2 linked regions of the Lonchura striata genome follow. The protein of the gene in region 2 interacts with the protein of the main gene of each other region in a biochemical or structural test. Links are inferred from orthologs where the notes say so. Each region holds a gene or a part of one and is shown on either strand. Other genes may lie near its edges. The genes, in order: B-cell differentiation antigen CD72 and SEMA4D.

Region 1 (10,576 bases), about 31 Mb from region 2:
TCAGCTTCCCTCCTTAGGTGCTGAGGCTTTGCCAAGGCCGTTGAGTGCTGGGTGAAAAGCCGTGGTCAAGCTGCTCCTGCAGTGGGGTCGGGCGGAAAATTCCTGCTGTGGGGAGGGAACTGTGTGGGGGTGGGGCTGTGCTATCCCCAGCTCCCGCTCCTGACATGTCAGCAGCACAGCTCTCTCCAGCTGGAGATGTGGCATGGCTCCAGCACTATCAGTGCTTGATCCACTCCGCAGCCAGTTCCGAGCTCCCCACTGCCCACCAGCCATTGTGCTCAGAAGACCCAAAGTGTCCCATGCAGGTGTGGGGTCGGCTGTGGAGCCTCTACCACTCAGCCAAAGCACATCAGCTGGAGGCAAAGGGTCACGGGGCATCAGGACCTGGGAGGAAGGACCTGGGTGGCCCAGGAGCAGTGGGCTGTGGGAGGGAAGTGGCTGTCTGGAATGGATGGGACATCCTGGGCACAGCAAGGGTGGAGCAGAGGCAGTGCAAGATGCAGGTGCTGCAAGGGAAAGCAGAGGAGGGTGAGGTAGGGTAAGGGGGAGATGCTACCCAGCCTCCACCACATGCAACAGAGCTGGGAAAGCACCTTGCCAAGGGTTTTCCCCCATCTTCCCCTTTTGCTGAGCCACAGCTTCAGGTCTTGAGCTACCTCAGACCCAGAATGCCCATGGCAGTGAAGGGATGGAGACAGGTTCCATCCAGCACAGGGAGGTGACTGCACTTCTCTGCCTTTCCAAGGGAGAGGGGCTCACCATGCCCCATGCAGAGCTGCAGGGCTCCCTGCTTTCCTTGAGGCACACCCCAAAGAGCGTGTGTCCCTGACTCAGCAGGACTCACCACAGCGGTGCTGGGGCCAGCAGCCACCATCACATGAAAGGGAGGCTTGGCCCTGCTGCCTTCTCACAGATCCAGAGGTGCAGGTCACTGGGACCAGTGCACTGGGCAGGTTTGATGCTCCCACGGCTTATTATGGCACAGGTTCCATTTGATTTTGACTGCCATGGCCTGAATGGGGAAACAACACATCAGGCACTGACATGTTCTTTCTACAAACCCTGCTGAGGCAGCTGCGGCTGCTGACAACTGCCTTTTGTACACTGGCAGAGGAGTGGTCAGATGCTGGAGGCAAAGGGGAATCCCCCAGTCCTCCCCTACTGATTTCACAGGCTGAAGCCTCGGCTGATGTATCCCTGCACTTTCATGGGCAGGCTGAGAAACACTGTAAAATGTTTGCAGTGCTTGAGACACCCCTTTAGCCTCCCCCTTCTCAGCTTCACTGGTGGCAGTTGTTCCATGCCTGCGATAGGGAGAGCCAGGTCCTCCCTGAAGGCATGTGAATGACCAGAGGAGCTGGCCTGAGCCCTGGGTCTGTTCTGGGCACAGCTCCATGGCAGGGCTGAGGATGGAGGGCCAGGTGCCCACAACCTGGCCAGACAGGTTTGTTCCTCCCCAGTGCTCTCAGACACTGCAAGAGGAAGCATCAGTGAGCTGAGGAGGTGGTGCACGTGGCAGGGAGCAGCCCAGGATTCTCCACAGACAGGGAGGCTTATCTCCCTTTGGAGAGGAATCAAGAAGGCATGTGGGGGATAGAGGTGGTGCTCAAACACCTTGCCTAGGGCCCAATTAAAATCTGGGGTTTCTTCCCACTCCTTGCTGCCTCCTGCTTCACATGCCCTGCATTTTACCCACCCCCTAGTCTTGGCTTTCCATTTGCGTGTCCTCTAAGCGCCTCATCACACCATTGCACCCACCTTCCCTCAGTCCCTGCTGCTCTGATGTTCTTTGTTTTCAAGGGCCTGTGCCTGGAACCAGTTACTGGTGGGATTTAAAACACTTCCTAGAGCCATGCCAGAGGACGGGATATTTGGGAAGAGGCAGTGCTGCCACATACCTTTCATAAAGGGAGCCGTCCACCCAGAACCAGGCCCCCTCACCCTCTGGGTCCTCTTCCTCCAGCCAGCCATAGTCGTACCAAGGAAAATTGCCCTTCTGCAACCCAATCCAGTATGGGACATCTGCATTCTTCAGGAAGGTCTGGAGAAGAAGAAAAAGTGCTTTTCCATGTTTTATTCCATGGCACCCATGTACTGCCATAGTATATCCTTCAAAGTGGGGTGATCATCTCCCCAAGGAGCCCCTTGAGTCAGGACAGCTGAGCAGCCCTGGTGCCCTGCTCCAGCCTGGGGAACATCCAGGGATGCCAAAGCCTTTCTATCTCATGTCAACCACCAGATATGTGCTCCAGAGAACAGCCTTGTACCCTCCAATGTTTTGGCAGGACAGGGGTCCCCAGAACCATGCTAGCCCATCTGGGGACCTCATAGCTGGATACAGCATCTCCTGCCCTCAGCTCCCCCAGCACCCTACCGGCACAGTCCAGCGACTCCAGGATTTGGTGACCAGGAGCTGAGAATATGTCTTCTCACACTCATCTCTGCTGTCTTCCCAAGTCTTCTTCTCCGAGGAGATGAAGAGGCATTTGCCCCTGTACAGCAGCCAGCCAGAAGGACAGCAATCTATGGGTAGGGACACAGCTGAGGGGCTTGCTCAGCCACAGATACCCTGGGGGGTAACAAGGAACAGTCCCACACCTTCCCAGCAGACATCACAGGCTCAGTGTCTGCTCCGGGCATTGCTTCAGCTCTTGAACCACCTTGTCCCCACCATGTGGTCAAAAAAGCCAGTACTTGCCCCTTGACACCTGCTGAGCGGTGCCAGTCACCCAGAGCACCCCCTCCCTTCTCCACCACCCTACCTATAGCTGTGCAGGAGCGCAGGAGGGCCACTGTGCTCTCGCTGTTGTTGAGCCTCCCCTGCACCTCCTGCACCTCCCTCTCTGTCCTGCCTAGGACCGCCGTGACGCGACGCAGCTCCGTGTTCAGTCTGTCCAGCTGCAGCTGGCTGATGTTGCCCTCGTGCCATGCTCGCTGCAGCTCTTCTCTGGCCCATGCCAGCTCCAGTTGTGTCTGCTCCAGGCTCTGCTCCCGCACCCTCAGCTCCTGTGACAGGCGGCCCTGCTCGGACGCGTGCTCACGGGAGGAGTCCTGCAGGCTGCGGGTGACCTGCCAGTCTGGGGAAGAGGGTGGGTGAGCTGGACATGGGCATGGGACAGTTTGGATGTGGGACTGACCCTGCTTAAGGGAGGTGGGATGGGCAGGGCAAGGCAGAGGTTTATCCATGATGAATGGGAAAAGATGTGAGGGAAGGACACAGCAGGGAAGTGTACAGTTAAGGGTTGGGCATGATCTGGCAGGGGAGAGCAGGACAAGGTAGGATGGATATAGGATGGATATAGGAGCAGACACAGCAGGTTAAGGGCAGGAAGAGTGCAGCAATAATGAGGCTGGACAATGCCAGGATTGGAAAGAAAAGGAGCAGAAATGGAAAGTAAAATTAGGAAGAGGGTAATGGGAGGCAAAGGAGGTGTGAGGGATGTGCGAGGGATATAGGCCAGCTTGTGGCAGACAGGGCATAGGGACTTAGCAGTGAGTGTGCATAAGCATGCCTCTATTCACCCACAGTGCCTACCCCAGCCAGATGCCTTCCTGACCCAACCACTCCCTGCCCCAGATGTTCACAATCCTCCAACTCACAGCAAGCCCCCAGGGCCACAGTGGCCACCAGCAGCAGGCAAGTCACCATCAGACCCACAGGGATGCACCACCAACGAGAGCAGCACCCTGTATGACACAACAGACAACAGACATCACCTGAAGAGCTGGAAAACCCCTAACAGCCCCCAGACCTCCTTCTTGGATACAGGCAGGAGAGTGGTGGCATGACAGCACAAATGGAATGGTGTGGGTGATGGGAGTGGGAGGACCCCAGAATACCACCCACAACCTACACCGGAACCATCCTGTGTCTGCTGGAATCCAGCTGGGTACTCACCTGGGTTGGGCTCTGCTCCATCCTCATCCTGCCCTGCCAGTGCTGGCTGCATGTTCTCGAAGGGGCTTTCTGCCTCATTCATGCCAAAGGCTGTTGGAGGAAGGCAGGGGAGAGTAGCTGAGGCCATGGGGCTGGGCATGGCAGGGACAGTGTGTCAGGGCCAGTGGGCTCTCACCTGCCTCCAGCTCCTGGCTGGCCATGCTCCGGCCTCCCATCACTTTGGCAAACCTCAGATCAGCATAAAGCTGGGCCATGTGGGCAAATGCCGGGCAAGCCCTGAGCCTCGCTGGCTCCTGCTCCACCCTTGGGATGCCTTTCTGAGATGTCCCTGTTCCCGGTGATTGCGCCGTCTCTTGGAGGTGCAAAGGAGAAGTGCAGCCAGCATCTGCAGAAGCAGAAGTTTGCTCTGCACTGTAGCAGATGGGAGAAGTGAGGCATGGCTGTGGGGACCAGCACCCTCTCATTGGTCACAGAAACACCAGCCTGTCCCCTCCCACACCCTAGAAGTGCTCATGGTCCCCCTAGGCACAGGGCAGGATGAGGACAGCACAGCCAGGTGTCACAGCAGGGGCAGAGCGAAGGATAGACCAAATGTGTGGTCTACAAGTCAGAGCAGGGCAATCCTGAATACAGGAGCAAATTGCTGCGTGACAGCTCCATGAAAAGCTGGAGGTATTCACAGATAGAGATTTCCTCTCCTAGCCTCTGAGAATGGGACTTTCCCCATGATGTATTTTGTTCCACTACCTCTCATCCCTTCCCTGGACCCCTCCAATGAAGACCCCAACTTTGGCATTGCTCCAAAACAGCCCCAGAGAGTTACAAAAATCAGTGACGTCCCCTTTGCCTTCCATTCCCAAGACCACAACCCCATGATTCACAACATCTTCCTGGTCCCTCCAGGCCCTCAGTGTCTCAGAGGTCTCTACTGAACTGCATCCAGAGGCAGGTTTCAGAAGGGATGTCCCCAAACCCTCCCACTGCTTCCCATTGCCTGCTACTGCCTCCCTCTCCATTCCACTGACTTACCATTGCCTCCCACTGTCTTTCAGATGGGCACATCTGAACACAGCCAGTCCCTGGGACAGCACTGGAGGTGCACAGTGGTGCTGATGGAGCAGTGTAACATAGCCACTGTCCTTCATTTCTGCAAGAGCAAGGGAAGGTCTTCCTCAGTGGAGAAAGGCAAAAATCAAAGCCAGCTTCAAAGGGGACAGGAAGGAGGTTTAGAAAGCTAAAATTTGGGCAGCCTCTACTCAACCTCCTGGAAGAAAATGGAGCATATCTGCCTGGGCATGCAAGGGCCCAGACCCAGAGAGGACATGCAGGGGAAAGGCCAGTGGCATTTAATGAGTGACTGCCCAATGTACCTCCTACTGCTTGGAAGCACTAGCCTGGGGTCAAGGGGAAAGCAACAGGACCATTTATTATGACCCTTCAGCATCTGGGATGCGGTTTTCCACAGTGTACTTGGTGGCAGAATGGAGACATGTGGCCGTGATGAGAGGAGAAGTGAAAGCTCATGCTGCAATGTGGAAGTCTCTTTTAGGCATCAGGGCAGCGATGCTCAGATCCTGGACCAGAGCACCAAGAAGAGGGAACCTCCATCCTGGATAGAGTCAGCAGCAGACCTCCCTATTCCTAGCTGGAAGCCAGACCTGCTTTCCCCTGCCCTAGGAAATTTGGTGAATTCTCTGTAGGCCGAGCCCTACAGCTCTGCCCCATGCTCCAGCCCCGAGCTGCACCGCCCCAACGCCATCCCCAAGGGACACTGAGCAGTTTTGGGGGGTGGAAGGAAGCGAGATGGTGGTGCCTGGCCAATGGCAGGGCGCCGGTGCCGCGGCCGTACTTTCCTCTCCGTCGCACCTCAGCACACTTCTGCTTCTACAGAAACCAGCTGCAGTTTTCATTCGAAGCAGAGCAGAGCCCGCAGGGCCATCGGGACCGCCCGGGACATGGCCCAGAGTGTGGTGTATGCTGACCTGAAGTTTGCCACGGGGCCCTCATCCACCGCTCCCGACGAGGATGACAGCCCGTACGAGAACGTGCCGCTGGGGCCGGCGGCAGCAGCGCCCAGCGCAGGTGCGACCGGGCAGCAGCCGCTGCCGCGGGCAGCCCCGGCGCAGGAGGCGCCAGGGACCACGGCGTGATGCCTGCGGGCGCTCCTCTCTTGCAGGGCGCTGGACCCGGCGATGGCGCGTCCCGACAGCGCTGCTGGCAGCCAGCCTGCTCCTGCTGCTGCTGCTGTTTGTGGCCGTCGTGGCCCTGGGGGCTTGCCGTGAGTCGGTGTCTGCCGCGGGGTGGGGGCAGCCGGGAGGAGGCACCGGGAGCGGGCGTCGGGCTGGGCGAGGGGCTGGGGGGCTGTCAGGGCGGAGGCGTGCCTGGGGCTCTTGCATGGCCACCACCAGCTGCTTCCCGCTGCCTTTCCCACTGCCTACCACTATCTGCCCGTATCTCCCCATGTCTTTTCCACTGCCTTCCATTGACTTCCCACTGCCTCCCACCCCTTCCCATGGTCTTGCCCCTTCTTCCCGCCAATCCCTCCCACCGCCTCCCACTCCGTGTCACTGTCTCTTCGCTGCCTCTCATAGTCTTCCCACTGCTACCCACTGCTGTCTTACTGCCTTCTGCTGCTTCTCAATCCCTCCCACTGCCTCCCACTCTCTATGAATGCCTCCCATTTCCTCCCACTGTTTTCCCACTGCCTCCCATTGCCAACCATTTCCTCCCACTGCCTTCTACTCTTCCCTAGTTATTGCCTCCTAATCCCTCTGACTGCCTTCTCATCACTGCCTCCCATTCTCTCCCACTGACTTCCCACTGTCTTACATTGCCTTCCACTTCCTTCCACTTCCTCCCACTGCCTCACATTGCCTCCCCATTTTATTCCCACCACCTTCTGCTGCCTTCCCACTGCTTCCCATTGCCTCCCACCACCTTCCACAGCTTTCTCATTGATTCTCCTTTTCTTCCCACTGTCTCTCGCTGCTTTCCAATGTCTCCCCTCCACCTGCCACCACCGGGGCTTCTGTTCCCTTCCCACTAGCATCCCCACGACAATCTCCACCCACAGCCAGATACTCTTATCCCTACTCTCACTTGCAAGAGGCATGACCCAGGCAGGGCTCCATGCCCATGTCCAGCTCACCCACCCTGTTCCCAGACTGGCAGGTCACCCGCAGCCTGCAGGACTCCTCCCGTGAGCACGCGTCCGAGCAGGGCCGCCTGACACAGGAGCTGAGGGTGCGGGAGCAGAGCCTGGAACAGATACAACTGGAGCTGGCATGGGCCAGAGAAGAGCTGCAGCGAGCATGGCACGAGGGCAACATCAGCCAGCTGCAGCTGAAAAGCAGCAATGCTGAGCTGGGGCATACCCAGCAGGAGCTGGCTGTGTTGCGGGAGGAGATGCATGTGGTGCAATGGAAGCTCAACAACAGCGAGAGGACTGTGAGCAGCCTGCTTGCCTGCATTAACACAGGTAGCGCGTGACAGTGTTGGGGCACAGGTGATGTTGCTGCTGCAAAGATGAAGGGGCTGAACTCAGCCAGGCTGAGCTCCCCAAGCATCCATAGAAGGATGAGTGTCTGAGCTGTGCCCCTGCCCCCAGATTGCTGCCCCAGGGGCTGGGTACTCTTCAGGAGCAAGTGTCTCTTCATCTCAGTGACAAACAAGACCTGGGAGCAGAGCTGGGAGGACTGTGCAGAGAGATTGGCTCGACTGATGGTCCAAGATAACTGGACACCACTGACAGTGCCGGTACAGAGCAGGGGGGTTGTGGTACCCCAGGAGGGTGGCGCTGGGTAGAGCCCCATGGGGCTAGCTGCAGCAGTATCTGTGGAGGTGCCAGGGTGGCACCATGAGCCCCAGATTCCCATCCTGGCAGTCTGATGGGATAAGCACAGCCAACCCTGGGGCTCCTGGGCTCCTAGCAAGTGCTGGTCATGAAGTAGGTGGTTGACAATTTCTCTCCCCCCTAGTATTTTATGCATGCATCTAAGGCACACTACTGGATTGGAGGAAAGGCAAGGAGATCTGAATGGATGGACAACAAACCTCCCTTGTAAGTGCAAGAGTCCTTGGCACAAGCACCTGCCCTTTTGCCATACTAGAGAGGTGCTGTTTTGCCCCTGTGACACCCTTCGGTAAAAGGGTTGATGGATTTCCATGACCAGTGCCCCAAGGGAGGGGGGGTGAGGGTAGAGCCAAGCTGTGGGGTGCAGTGCCAAATATCCAAGTGGCAGAGAAGTAGAGCAAGAGGAGGAATGTGACACTTCCTAAGAGTGATCTCTGTGCCAGGTGCCTTGCCTGCCCCAGCAGCACCGGGATCTATGGGAAGTGGTGTCCATGGTGAGGAGGTTGTCACTACTGCCCTGAGATATGCCATCTTTCCTAGGAAACGCCATACTAATTGCTGGTCAGTAATTAATGGGGAAATGTGGAGCAAGAACTGTGACAATGCCTACCAGTGGATCTGCGAGAAATCCCCAAAGCTGAGCAGTGCATCTGAGACTCAATCTCTTTTTTGACCAAGGACTGACTGCTGCCACCTCCCTCCATCACTGGACTCAGGAACAGGACCTGGGTGTGCACCCTGAGTTCCTCTCTCCAGTGAACACTTTGCCTCAATTGCGTTGCAAAACTGCTGGGAGAAAGTGTCTCTATTTTAAAGCAAGGATTGTGGAAAATAGACCTTATTCCACTCTCCCACACTTATGCAAACACACATTATACTGCTTTGTACTGTACCACTGCATGTCCCTGTGTGCTCTGGCTAATGCAGCTCTGACCCAGGTCTCCAGCGCCGAGCCCAGCTCTCACCTTCTTTGTTACCCCAAGGCTGCTGGGGTACAGGATCTGCCATTTGCGTATTTTTGGAGCTGAGGGTTGACACACTGATGTTCTCAAACTGTCCATTTTGGGGAGACCTGTGGATTTACAGCCTGTCCCTTCTCTCAGCATTCACAGCTCTTTTCCTGACGTTTCTTCTGTCTTCATCACCTGCCCAGGGCTTTGTGCTGGGTCCTACCTGGAAAGGGTGCTGACAGTAAGGCCATCAGCATGAGAAAATGCTGGGAAGCCCAGAGACCATATAAGAAGTGGGGGAGTGCTGGGGAGTTTTGAGAACATGGTGGATGAATGAGGAAACTCTGAAACCATGGGAGGAAAATGAGGGCAATGAAGAGCCCTAAAACCCTGGGAGGTGAATGTGGAAATCCTGAGACCACGGAAAGAAAGGGAGTGCAGTGGAACTGCAAATGAGGGTGGTCCTGAAAAAATGAAGGTGCACTGATAAGACAGTGGGAGAGAGGAAGAACCACTAGGGAGACTTGGGAACATAAGGAAAAGGGGAGACCCCTCCCACCAAGGAGGAAAGATACCTAAGAATGTGGTGGGACCTTATCTGCCAAAGGAGGGTGATAAGACACTTCAGTCCAGGACCCAGTTGGGGTGTGGGGGGAGTCCAGAAACAGCTCTGACCCTCCCTGTCTCAGTCAGTGTTTCTGCAGAGAGAGGAATGTGATGGCAACCATTTAGCTAAGGTGGACCTGAGACAGCCAGCACCCTTCACCACAAGTCCTGCCCAACCAACCCAGTGGCCTTCTACAATGGAGTGATTGCATCAGTGAACAAGGAGAGGGCTATGCGTGTCTTCTGTCTGGACTTCTGTAAAGCCTTCAACACAGTCCTCCTCTGAACTTGAGATAAATGGAGTCAATGGGTGAACTGTTCAGTGGGCAATGTTGGACAGCTGCATCCAGAAGAGAATGGTCAATGGCTCAGTGTCCTCATGGGAACACTGGTGATAATGTTGGCCCTCAGGGATCCACCTTGGGACCAGTCTTATTTAGTACTTCTGTCAACAATGTGAACAGTGGGATCAACTGCACCCTCAACCTGCAAGTTTGCAAGTTACATCATGCTGGAGTGGTTTGACACACATGAAGACAGGATGCCATCCAGTGGGACCTGGAGAAACTTGAGGAGTGGCCCTTGGGAGCATCATGGCAAAGGGCTGGAACAACCCCTGGCACCAGCGCAGGCTGGGCATGAACAGACCCAGAGCAGCCCTGCCCAGAAGGGCTTGGGGGTGCTGTGGGTGAGAGGCTGCACATGGCCCGGCCATGGCACTCACAGCCCAGAGAGCCAAACGTGTCCTGGGCTGCATCCAGAGCCCCGTGGGCAGCAGGGGAGGGAGGGGATTCTGCCCCTCTGCTCTGCTCTGCTGAGACCCACCTGGAGCACTGCATCCAGTCCTGGGCTCCAAGCACGGGAGGGACAGGGACCTGCTGGAGCAAGCCCTGAGGAGGCCATCAAGATGAGCAGAAGGATGGAGCACCTCTGCTGTGAGGAGAATTTTGATTTTTCAGCCTGGAGAAGAGAAGACTTCAGGGAAAACTTACTGTGGCCTTCCAGTACGAAAAGGGGCTACAGAAAATCTGGAGAGAGACTTTACACAAGGGCTTGTAGCAAAAACACAAGGGGAAATGGCTTCAGACTAAGAGGGCAGCTCCAAGAAGAGCTTCCATAGAAGGAGACTGGTGGAGTCAGCCCAATGGCATGGCAAGGCTGCAACTGGACTGCAGGTCCCTGACAGTCTCAGCTATCATGAAAACAAAGACTTGCCGTGTGTGGCTTTCCTGGAGAGTCCAGACATCCTCTCTGCTCCTAAAGCCCTGA
Region 2 (10,702 bases):
TGAGAAATCAGATGCAGTAACAACATCACAATTTCCCAGTCTGCTAATTCCATATATTTCCAAGTCACTTCCATAACAGTGCTTTATCACCTACACATCTGCTCAGCCTGCACAATCCTGCAGCAGAACACACAACCAGGCTCCATACAAGAAACGGGGAACCTGCCTGTCCTTGCAATGAGGCCAACAGGTACTAATTTTGCAGCAATGCTCAATCCTCTTTACTCTGCTTCATATATAGGCTAATACTAATTTTTTTAAGAGGATCAATTCAGAAAATGCCTAGTGGATTATGAGTTCAGTGCTGTACATTAACAGAGACAGAAATAGGTGGAAGAGCAGAGAAAGACAAAAAAAAAGTGTCCACTATTAACTTGTACCAACAAACTTGGACCTAAACTTCATACATGGGCTTCAATTAACTATATGAACAATCTTTATAAAGGTTCTTAAGTTCCTTATCTGCTTACATCTACAGATTTTTTTATTATGATTGTAATCTGTTTACAGTTCTTTATTATTTTGTCATCTGTTTTTTTCCCCTCCTCCAGACCACAAGAACTGGCTCCCTCAGTACAGAACAACACACTCTTGAAGTAAAGGCTGCTGTCTGGTGCTTTGAAAGACTTATATGTCCAAAGTCTCGGAGTAACAGTAGTGGAAAAAACACTCATGACCCTTCATTCAATACAAGTCTTATTTTCCTCCTCCATCCCATAATACAAAAAGGGAAAGCACTACATTTACAGAAATTAAGTTCTGGTATGTTTATTAATTTTGTTTTCAAAAACACAGACATGCCTAGAAGCTTGCTGCACCACAACTTGGTGTTACAGGGAGCAGGAGGAAACAGAGCAGCTCTTGGACACCCTTGGCTAGAAGAGGCGCTCAACACACTTGTAACTGCAGGCAGCATCTTCCCTCATGGTGAAACCAGGCTACAGCAGCACACCCAGAAGCTAAACAGGCTTTTGCATTCCTGGAACTTTACAGGAAGATAAAAGAATATAAAAGCTTTTTGGCCAGAATACAATTAAATGTAAGACCTCATTAATTCAGTTCTGGACAGCAAGATCTGTAACTTCCCAATCCTGGATGACAGCACACATTAGTCTGAAATAGGAGGTTCTACTTTTTCTCTTTGTAGCTGCAGAGCTATGAGAACAGGAAAAGTAATTCTTGGTTCCTTTCATCAAATCATCCAAGAAACAAGGACAAAACCTCCGTATCAGAAGGAAAACAATTAAAACAGCTTCCACATCTATCCCGCACAGCTGTATCAACACACTGGCAAGTTAACTGCAAATGGAAGCTTCAGTGGTGCCTTTTGGCATTCCCAAGCTCCACCTGGTACTCAACCAGAAGTTGAGTTGTATGCTCCACTGAAAAGCAGCTCTTCAGCCACTTCATCCTCCCAAGCTCAGGACACAAGTAAAGTTTTCTCATGCTTTTCAATACATTTCTTTTATCTATCTACCTAGACACTCAAGCACACGACTACTAAGCAAAGCCAGATGAAGAAAACCTTAGAAAATAATGCTTTATCATCAGAGAAATGACTAGTTAGAAAAAAGGAGGCAGAAAACTTTAGAGAAAAAGCAACCAAACAAAAGGCCAAAAGCACTTCCCAGCTCCTTGTTTATTATGCAGGTTCCCAAATGAGCATACCTTTCTTCAGTTAATTAACATAGCATACAGCAACTGAGTATAAGACACAACAGAGAACACTCCCTCACCAAACTGTTTAATATTACCACAATGAAAGTTTCCTATCTGCTTTCCTTGTTTTTGTTTCTTTAAATCTCCAGCCTTACTCTTACATGCTACCCAGAATTTAAAATACTGTGAAAAATTGTCTCAGTCATGTCTACAAGTACTTGATTTTTAGTTTAGTAAGACTCATAGTAGATCACCACCCATCATGAATAATGCTTTCATGGTCATATACCTTCAGAAGCTACTTTTCAACTCATTTAAATCACAGAATAAGAATTCAACAAGACCCAACATTTGGAAGCACTGGAGGCTTAAAAGACATGTTAGTCAACTTTGGTAATTATTTCATTACCTTTGCACAGCAAAACCTGGCGTAAGTAACTTCACCTCTGCACATTCAGAACTTTATATTCTGGTTACCTACAAAATCCCTATTGCAACAACTAGCTTGGAATTCCCTTTTTCCTGGAGAAAACCAAAGCTAAAAACAATTGGTGGAGTTCCAAGGTAATGTAAGTATGATAGAAATGCTCCAAGATTTTATTTCTACTGATTTAGAGTCCTATTTTAAAAAGCCATCCTTAAAAATGAGATTATGGAACAACCACCTATCAACTTATTCAACACCTTCTGCAAAGCAGGTGACATATGCAAGTATTAAATCTAATGCTAGCAGCCCAGAATAAGAACTGATTTTGACATGGACTGAAAGAGACCTCCCACTTGCTTCACTGCAAGAGAACAGCTAGGAAAATGCATTTTAAAACAAAAATATTCATTTAGCACACACCCCCTAAAACAGCTAGGAGAGAGGACAAGAGTGTGCTGCAGAGCAAGCACAGTGCAGCCTTCAACTCCACCCAAGTGGCCTTCAGCAAATGACAGATCCTCTGGAGTTCTCCAGCTCGCCCCAGCAAAAGGCTGCATGGAGCAGGGAACTTTGAGGCTCAGCTGCTCAGGAGGCAGGCCAATATGGGATGCGCCAGGGCATCCAGAACATCTCTTCTGTTTGCAGGACCTCTTAGTGGTATAAATCCACACATTTTGGCAGGGTACTGCTGTATCCATACAAGGTTAACAAGAAAAGTTATCAAGTGTTCAATGTGATAGCTGTTTATGCAGGGACTGGGCTGGGGGGGAGGAGAGGAGACTGAATCATAATACCAGCAGAGAGATGGCAACACAGCATATTAAATTAAGCCTGTGGGCACACCTGTACTTAAGTGTCCAGAAAAACCTATGAATCAGTGTTCGAGTTTCGAAACAGAACCATTCATATCAAACACTTAATTTGTTGTGGAAGTAGCTACTGCCCTCCCCACTAGCTACAATGGTTTTTGCTTCTTAAAAAAACACAAGAGAAATTTAAAAACCAGTATAGACCTATTTTGGTAGGTATGAATGGAAGCAGCTTTTGTCAGCAGACTCTGTAGCAATCCTGGATCACAGATAAAGGTATATAATGTAATCATTTCAGAGGAGGAGAGAGATGGTGAAATACTCCCTCTACACACCAAGAGATGATAGTAAAGACAGAGTTCATCTGTCAATCCTCTAAGAATATAAACGCAGTAACACATTCCCATGCCATCCGTTTGCTTCCAGTGGAAATAGCCACCTATAACTCATCTCTGCTACCAGAAAGAATGAGTGGCCATCCATACATGGCCTGCTCGTCCCAGGCAGCACACGGTACAAACACTCCTCCCTACGTACAGTGTTTCACCCGACACGAGCCACTCGGCTCTCCCTTACAATGCCCCTTTCTGACTCCGTTTGTAAATGATACTCCCACTCCGGCTCGGCCTCCACATTCGCCATCCACGCAGCCAGCACAGCTTCCTTTAGGCGCACTTGCGTAATTGCCTGAGCTCGCACTCTTTCTAATAAAAGAAGTCATTAAACTGTTCTCTAACAAAACCTTCATACAGGTATCCAAAAGGGAGTATGAGATCAGTAGCTATTTCTGAGCCTGATGGGCACACAGCATTCAAAAGACGTGTGCTAATTACTGTGAGAATTCTAATTTTGTTTAAAAAAGATGCATTATTGCTACATTGATTTTCAGAGCTACTAGAAATACCTGAGTGCTATAAACTTAAAGGTTTAAACATTTTTAAGCCGAAGTAACTCTCCGTAAGAGGTACATGACAATAAAGACATGAAGGAAAATAGGAAAATGTTTCAGCATTAAACCGGAAAGCAGACTTCAAAAATCCCTTCAATCTACAGATCCATCAGGTTCCGGACTACACCAGGGCAGGATCAAAATTCTACTCCCCTCCCTGCTAAAGGCAGTCATGTAATAGAAAGGACCTGCAACAATGAAGTTACCACGGCTGCATTCATCCACTCAAATCCTCTCCCTTAAACGCCCATGATGCGTATTTGTGTATACGCAGAAAACACCACGCAATAACCCACACCTCCGGGAAGCAGTGAAGACATCCTCTCGGAATTAGCCGAAAAGGCAAATGGGGACAGAAGACACTCTCTTCACACGTACCTTGCAAACTCAGCACCTCCGCGGAGACCCGATTCAAACTCTCCTGACAGCTAAAAAATAAAGCAGCACATAACAGCGCTTCAGAACACGTGCAGCCGGTTACCCGACAGCAAGCACCCGGTATCGCGCACGGCTCTTCGCTCAGCGAGGGACGGCGGCTCCCAGCAGACAGCGGCCTCCCCGAAGCGCCGGGACACACTCCTGGCAACCTGAGCTGCTGGCCCTTGGAAACCGACTGCTCCTCAGCCGGGCGAGAACGCCCCGCATCCATCCTCACCACCCTCGGCCGCGCCCCCGCCCCCGCGGCAGGTGCGGCAGGCGCGGACGGCGGGGCCCCGACCGCCACCCCGGGCACGCACCTGGCGGAGCCGCAGCCGCCCGCCCGTCGCCGCCGGAGTCAGCGGGGCTCGGAGGGGGGGGAGGAAAAGCAGATTTATAAACCTGGCAGCCCTCGCTCATTTGCTACGGCTGCAGGCTCCTCCTCTCGTCTCGCTCCGGCCCCGTGGCCGGCGGGGGCTGCCAGCGCCCTCGCCCCCCGCCCGAGCGCGGCGGCGGCCGGGCCCCGTCAGGCGGCAGGACGGGCTGCGTTCCGTAGGGGCGGCCGCGCCGCCCGCGCCCGGCTCCCGCAGCCCCACCTCGGCGGGGCCGGACGGTCGCTGCCCCAGCGACGGAACGCTCCCGCCCGCCGCCTCCCGCGGCCCGGCCCGCCCCGCCGGGCGCTCCTACCTGCGGGGCGCTGCGGCGCTCCCCTCGCACGGCCCCCGCCCGCCTCGGCGCCCTCCCCGCGGCTGGGGCTGGGCCGGCGCAGCCCCCTCCTCCCGCGCCGCTGGGGGCAGGCCGGCGGCGGGAGCGGCGGCGGCGGCAGGAGGAGGAGGAGGAGGAGGAGGAGGAGGTGTAACAAGTTTGGGTCGCCCCGCAGTATGGCGGCCGAGCGGAGCTGGGGGCGGGCCCGGCTGGGCTGGCTCCCGGGGGTTTGGCGGGGGCCCGAGCCGCCCTCAGCTCGGTGGTGCTCGGCCCTTCCCCCGCGGGCGGCGCGGCCCCGTTAACGGCGGCGGCGCTGGGACACCAGCCGGCCTCGGCGGCGGCGGAACCGCTGCCCCCGCCCGTCCCTGGGGCTGTCCCTGCCGAAAGCAGGTGCGGCGTCCCGCGGCTCGGCCGGGCCGGAGCCGCCGCCGCCCTCGCACCCAGCGCCGCTTGTCGCGTTCCGCCGCTCCTCCTCCGCCCCTCCGCGGGCACGGGGGATCCGCTCGCCGCAGACCGCAGGGAAAACCGCACCTGGGATCCAGCCTGGTACCATGGGAGTGAAATAACTCGTGTCATAAGCCGTTGCTACTAGAATTACTGCACCTTAGAGGCATAGGTGCGCTTAGGTGACTGCTCGGCGGTATATGAAAGGAGGACAGAAAATAGGTCAGTAAATGCACAGATCTCACCCGCGGTGATCCTGCTGAGTCACTGATGAGCTATTGATTACCGTCATGTCCCTGCACGCCTGGTGTGACTGTTCAGATGAATGGCATGGACCGACACATGGGTCTCTGGTTTTGGATTGGGGTTTGGTTTGTTTTATTGCTGCGGAACAGGTGATACCAGTGTCATGAAATTGCCATAGTTTGGTTAGCAGTAGTCATTGAAGCAAGACTGGACAAAATATTTAGCTTGTCAGACAATAGCACTTGCTTTACTGCCTGACCTTTAAATTCCGGCATTTCACAATACTGTATTTTTACAATAACATGCTAGTCAATCTCTAATAATTCATATTAGCTGTAGGTAAGAAATAACATCAGGAAGAAATCATTGAGGAGATCTAGCCTCTTAAAGCATGGAGGCATGGTAATAACTTCAGATTAAGGAAGTTACATGCAAAGCAACCTTGATATTTCAGGGTCTACGAAATGGTAGCATCTGAAGGAGGCTACTAGCATAGCCGGCAAACAGTCTGTTGTGTGGTAAACAGTGGGAAACGAGTTTTCCTGCACTACATTTTCAAAATGGTGATGTAACAGTCCATCTTAACAATGGATAACCAGTGTTCATCACGCCATTGACATCAAATATGGTCGTAATGCCATCAAAACATTGGATGTGAAGCATGGAAAAGAAAGTAATCATACCCATAATCATCTGGGAGATGGCAGCAGGAGCGGCTGAGAAGACATGGTCTGCAAGGAAGGGGCAGAACCACTTCTGATGATTAACCTGAGTCCGAAAGGGGCATAAATGAGAGGGTGAAATGAACCCGTGCCAGAAAATCCTTGCTGAAAATACAGTAGCATGGTAAAAAATCCTTATCATACTGTATTTGGTAAATTGCCATAATTTATACCATCAGAAGATTAACCTGCATCTCCACTGGGACTCACTGCTGGTATTAATATGCTGACAAAACCCTCCAGTGTAGACAAGACTTTAAGCATGTCCTGAGGGAATACAACTATGAAATTATATTACAAGGGAAGAAACAAAGATGCTTTTTTAATCTCTCATTTTACAGAATCTAGACTTGGGCAATTCTTAGCTCTGAGTAGAAAAATCACAGGGATTTTGTCAGGTTTCCCCATGAAGCCTGCAGTCTGTACAAATTTCCAAAACCAGGGAGTGGCACAAGGGAACTGGAGCAAAGGCTAGCACAAACACAAAATTCCCATTATTTCTGACTCTATCCAAGTAATACGTCATTACCTTTTAAGAATTATATTGTTAATTTTTATGAAGTAGCTTTCAATCTCCATTCTCAGTGAAACCTGGAGAGTCTTACAGACTTGAAGGTTGGAGGTGAAACAAGGAATTGATATTTGTACCTTGTCAAATGGCAAATTCTCAATCACATTTAGACCCTTCTTTCAAGTATATATTACCAAATGGGATTTGATGGGAAAAAGAAAACACTAGTAATAACAGTGTTGGGAACTTACAGCTGGTACCATGAATTGCACCACTGAAAATTCCTTTTGGTTACAATTATAAGTCATTTATTTCACAGGAATAAAAAACAAATGGCCTCTGACACAGATTTGAGAAGTTTCCAGAGGTCTGTAATGCTAATCTGGGTTGTATATTAATCTGAGCTAGTGATGTAGGGCTGAAGACACTGGTCCTCATAGTAATTATAACTGATTTTGTTTTCCAAAAAAATATAATAATCTCCCAAATGCTGCATGCTGTTGCAATGAGATCAAATAATGAACAATTGTTAATACATGTCCACATCAATTCCATAATGGGTATTCCAAGGACATGGAGGAAACATGCTTTTAAAAACCTTTACTATAAGCATAATAAAGTCTAATCTTCAAAAGGACACATAATGCTTTCTGCAAAGTAATAGTATATAAAGACTGCCTCAGTCCTAACACATTTACTTCAGACAATGTGTTGGGGTTGAATATACAGACAGGTATTTTAAGTCTAGGCAAGCTGTGTCAAATCTGTGCCAGGAAAAATAAATAAGCAATTAAGAAAGAAAAAGGGGTTAAAGAAAGCTGTAACAACTGATGGTGCTCTTAAACCTGCAGTCCTTAATTAAACTCACAAACAAATAGGCTGCAGGATAGAAGATACAGGAGCAGAGTCAGGACTGAGAGAGACTAAAACTGTCTCAGAAGCCAGGTCTGAGGCTGAGGGCAGGTCTGTCCAAGAGTGAGTGAGTGAACAGGTGGTAGGTTTTTAGTAAGTCAGTGAAAAGGGCATTGAACATGCCCAGAGGTTTGCAAACCGATACATAATACAGGGAATAGGTCAGTAGCAGGGTGCGTGAGAGAATGAATAGATGAGAGAATAAAGTAAAAAATAGTTGGGTTGAATGAGTGCAACTGTGAACAATTCTGAATAAAGTCAAGGTTTCAAGCTACACCTTTATATTGCTATGATGGCGTGACTTTTCAAATCACTCATCATTGATATAAGCCAGCATTAGAGGAAAAGAGCACACATTGCTGAAAAAAAATCCCTTTTCACTACCAATTTTGGGAAAATAACATAATAAAAATAAAGATTTAAAATACATTTTACAGTCATGACAATAAAAACAGTTTTGGAAACCTTAGTACAGAAAAGTAAGCACACAAAAGGCATCTAAAAGCATTGTCCAGTAAATTAATATTGATTAACATTATTAAGCTACTAGAATTGACATAGATGTAAAATTATTTGCAGAGCAGGAAGATGCCATTAACTGTCCTAGTTAGGAACCTGATACACAACTGCTCAAAGTGATTTGTGCAAGATTATACAGTAGGTGAGTGACAGAACCACAGATGGATAAAGCCTTGACCTTTTACTTTTGTATCCTCCCCATCAGGCAGAGAAAATGCATTGACTTCACTTTGCAATTACAGAGGCAGTGAAACTAAATTATAATAGTCAAGGAGTTTTATCTCCTGACCTTGGGGTTTTTTGGGTTTCTTTGGGCTGAAGACTTCCTATATCATTATGGATAAACATGGCAATTATACACTCAGAGACTTTAAAACTGTCCCTGTATTTACCATGTTTGTATGCCTAAGACAGGAGAAGAGGGAGCTAAGTAAATGCTACACAGACATCTGCATTTAGATGATGTAGAGTAGGGGAAGTGCATGTCTGGATGACGTGGCAGAGGAAGAAGGTCTTTTTCTCTGCCTTTGGTGGATCTGTGTGGCTAAGAGCACTGTAAAGGTCACAGAGAATATTTTCCATTTCATTTCCTAATCTGGAATAACAGATTTAGGGGAGCTACACTGTAGGTTAATGTCTAACCATTAGTTAGACATCTGCAGTCTAGTCTATTAAATGTCACAGCACAGCCTGTTAGAAAGTTTGCTAAAAGGATAAGGGACATGGTGGATTTGGAGAAGGATTGCAAAAGTGGTAGGGATTCCTCTCATTCTGATGCTGGGTCAGCATTTGTATTTTACAATGAGATATTACTAGCAAGTTACATTAATAACATACTTTGCTCATAGGCAAAACAACAGCAACAAATATTTTGTGTTTTCACTTACCAGTGTCCAAATATGGAGCCTGTAAGTCTTACACCAACAGCTCAGTTATGTGCATGCTTACAAAATTAAGAAACTAACCAGTCCAGTGGTCTTTTCGTAGGAAGATGGCATGGAAAGACTTAGAATCAACAATCAATGAATAAAAAATGAATGATAAAAGACGCTTTATCCACTCTACATGGCGGAAGAAGTGCATGGCCTAGAGAAGGCCATGTTTATTAATGAGAAAAATAATAAAAAAGGTGTCAGCAGTGCTTACCTCAGGGGACAAGGTCAATGAGGCAACATCAATAATGGAGTACATTAAGAATAATGAAGAAACTAAAACTCAATATATTGTTTTTATGTTTTTTGAAAATGCATTTACATTTCCAAAAAGATCAAAGTAATGAAAATTGTTTAATGGAGTCATCACCAATCACAGGAATCATTTCTGATTACGTGGTTTTCATACATATAATACCAATATCAAACTATTGGTGTGGAGTAACATGTGCTAGTCATGAATAAATATGAAACCAGAGAGGTAACAAAAGTGTTCTGTTGTTAATACAGGAAAAGCAAATGTAGGGTTTGAGAATAGTGGATTAAGACATTTAGAAACTTATACTAAGCTTGCATTCTTCCTGTATGGACCTTACATTTTTATTGCCTGCATTATTACAGTATTTTATGATGTTTTCTTATTTTCCTTACATTTTTTAGTAGAAGAATAACTTAATATGATGCTTTACAAAAACAAATTAAGAAGTGGAATTACAGAAGATTTTTCTTGTGACAAACTTGATTGTAAAAGACAGTAGTCACAGACCTGTCTCTTTTATGTGTGCATGTCTCTGATCACAGTGTGGCCTGAGAAGAGGGGAATGGATCATCAGAGTAGTGAGTGAAAAGTCTGCCTTTTTATCAATCAGAATAGCATTCTAGTTCAGTTACTTTCCATGCACACAGTTTACTTGGAGAGGATCACAAGACTAGTGGGATTCTTTAACTTGTACCAATGTCTGTAACTACCTTTGACTGTTATTTCTGCTGAGTTACCCAGCTAACACCTGTACACTCCCAGCTTTGAACCTTGATAGAAAAGCAATATTAATGTTAAAGCATGAATCTCATAGTTGCTCCTGTTCCTGTACAGGGCATCTATCTCAAGTAATGACAAGCCAATTGATTCCTGTCAACACTTGGACAACCATGAATGTGCAAAATGAGAAGCCAGCAGTGGAAATATACTGTGAATAAAAAGTGAAATAAAAAGTGAAAGCAGACTGCTTTCTTCTCCTTGTGTGATTTTTTTTTTTCTTTGTGCTGACATCTTTTGTCCTTCTCACTCCCAAAAAATGCAAAAACCTGATGTAACTTGCTTCTTGAACTAAGTCGCCCCAATAACCACTCCTTGACTGAAGCTAAACCAGGTCATGATTTCCCACTGTGATGTCTGTCACAGGGACATTTTTTTCCCTGCCCTAGAGTAAGGTTTTCCTTTCCACTGGTT

What was found.
Region 1: the proteins of SEMA4D (region 2) and B-cell differentiation antigen CD72 form a complex in vitro, tested with the Homo sapiens proteins (2 studies listed by BioGRID and IntAct). The link is inferred for Lonchura striata from reciprocal best matches to the Homo sapiens genes SEMA4D and CD72.

What each region holds. Positions count from the first base shown.
Region 1 is NC_134642.1:39,733,897-39,744,472, reverse strand, and holds B-cell differentiation antigen CD72, read right to left. Parts: upstream 4,153-10,576; coding exon 4,074-4,152; intron 3,989-4,073; coding exon 3,899-3,988; intron 3,688-3,898; coding exon 3,601-3,687; intron 3,078-3,600; coding exon 2,763-3,077; intron 2,524-2,762; coding exon 2,375-2,523; intron 2,042-2,374; coding exon 1,899-2,041; intron 1,013-1,898; coding exon 874-1,012; downstream 1-873. Other genes in the region: B-cell differentiation antigen CD72-like, read left to right, coding at 5,854-5,980, 6,075-6,176, 7,062-7,376, 7,506-7,654, 7,876-7,922, 8,295-8,424. UniProt on the Homo sapiens protein: Co-receptor of B cell receptor (BCR) that plays both positive and negative roles on B-cell functions. Recognizes the Sm/ribonucleoprotein (RNP) self-antigen ligand, and coligation of CD72 and BCR inhibits BCR signaling.
Region 2 is NC_134642.1:8,236,252-8,246,953, reverse strand, and holds the start of SEMA4D (semaphorin-4D), read right to left. Parts: upstream 5,020-10,702; 5' UTR 4,949-5,019; intron 4,600-4,948; exon of another isoform or gene 4,582-4,599; intron 4,541-4,581; exon of another isoform or gene 4,273-4,540; 5' UTR 4,223-4,272; intron 1-4,222. UniProt on the Homo sapiens protein: Cell surface receptor for PLXNB1 and PLXNB2 that plays an important role in cell-cell signaling. Regulates GABAergic synapse development. Promotes the development of inhibitory synapses in a PLXNB1-dependent manner.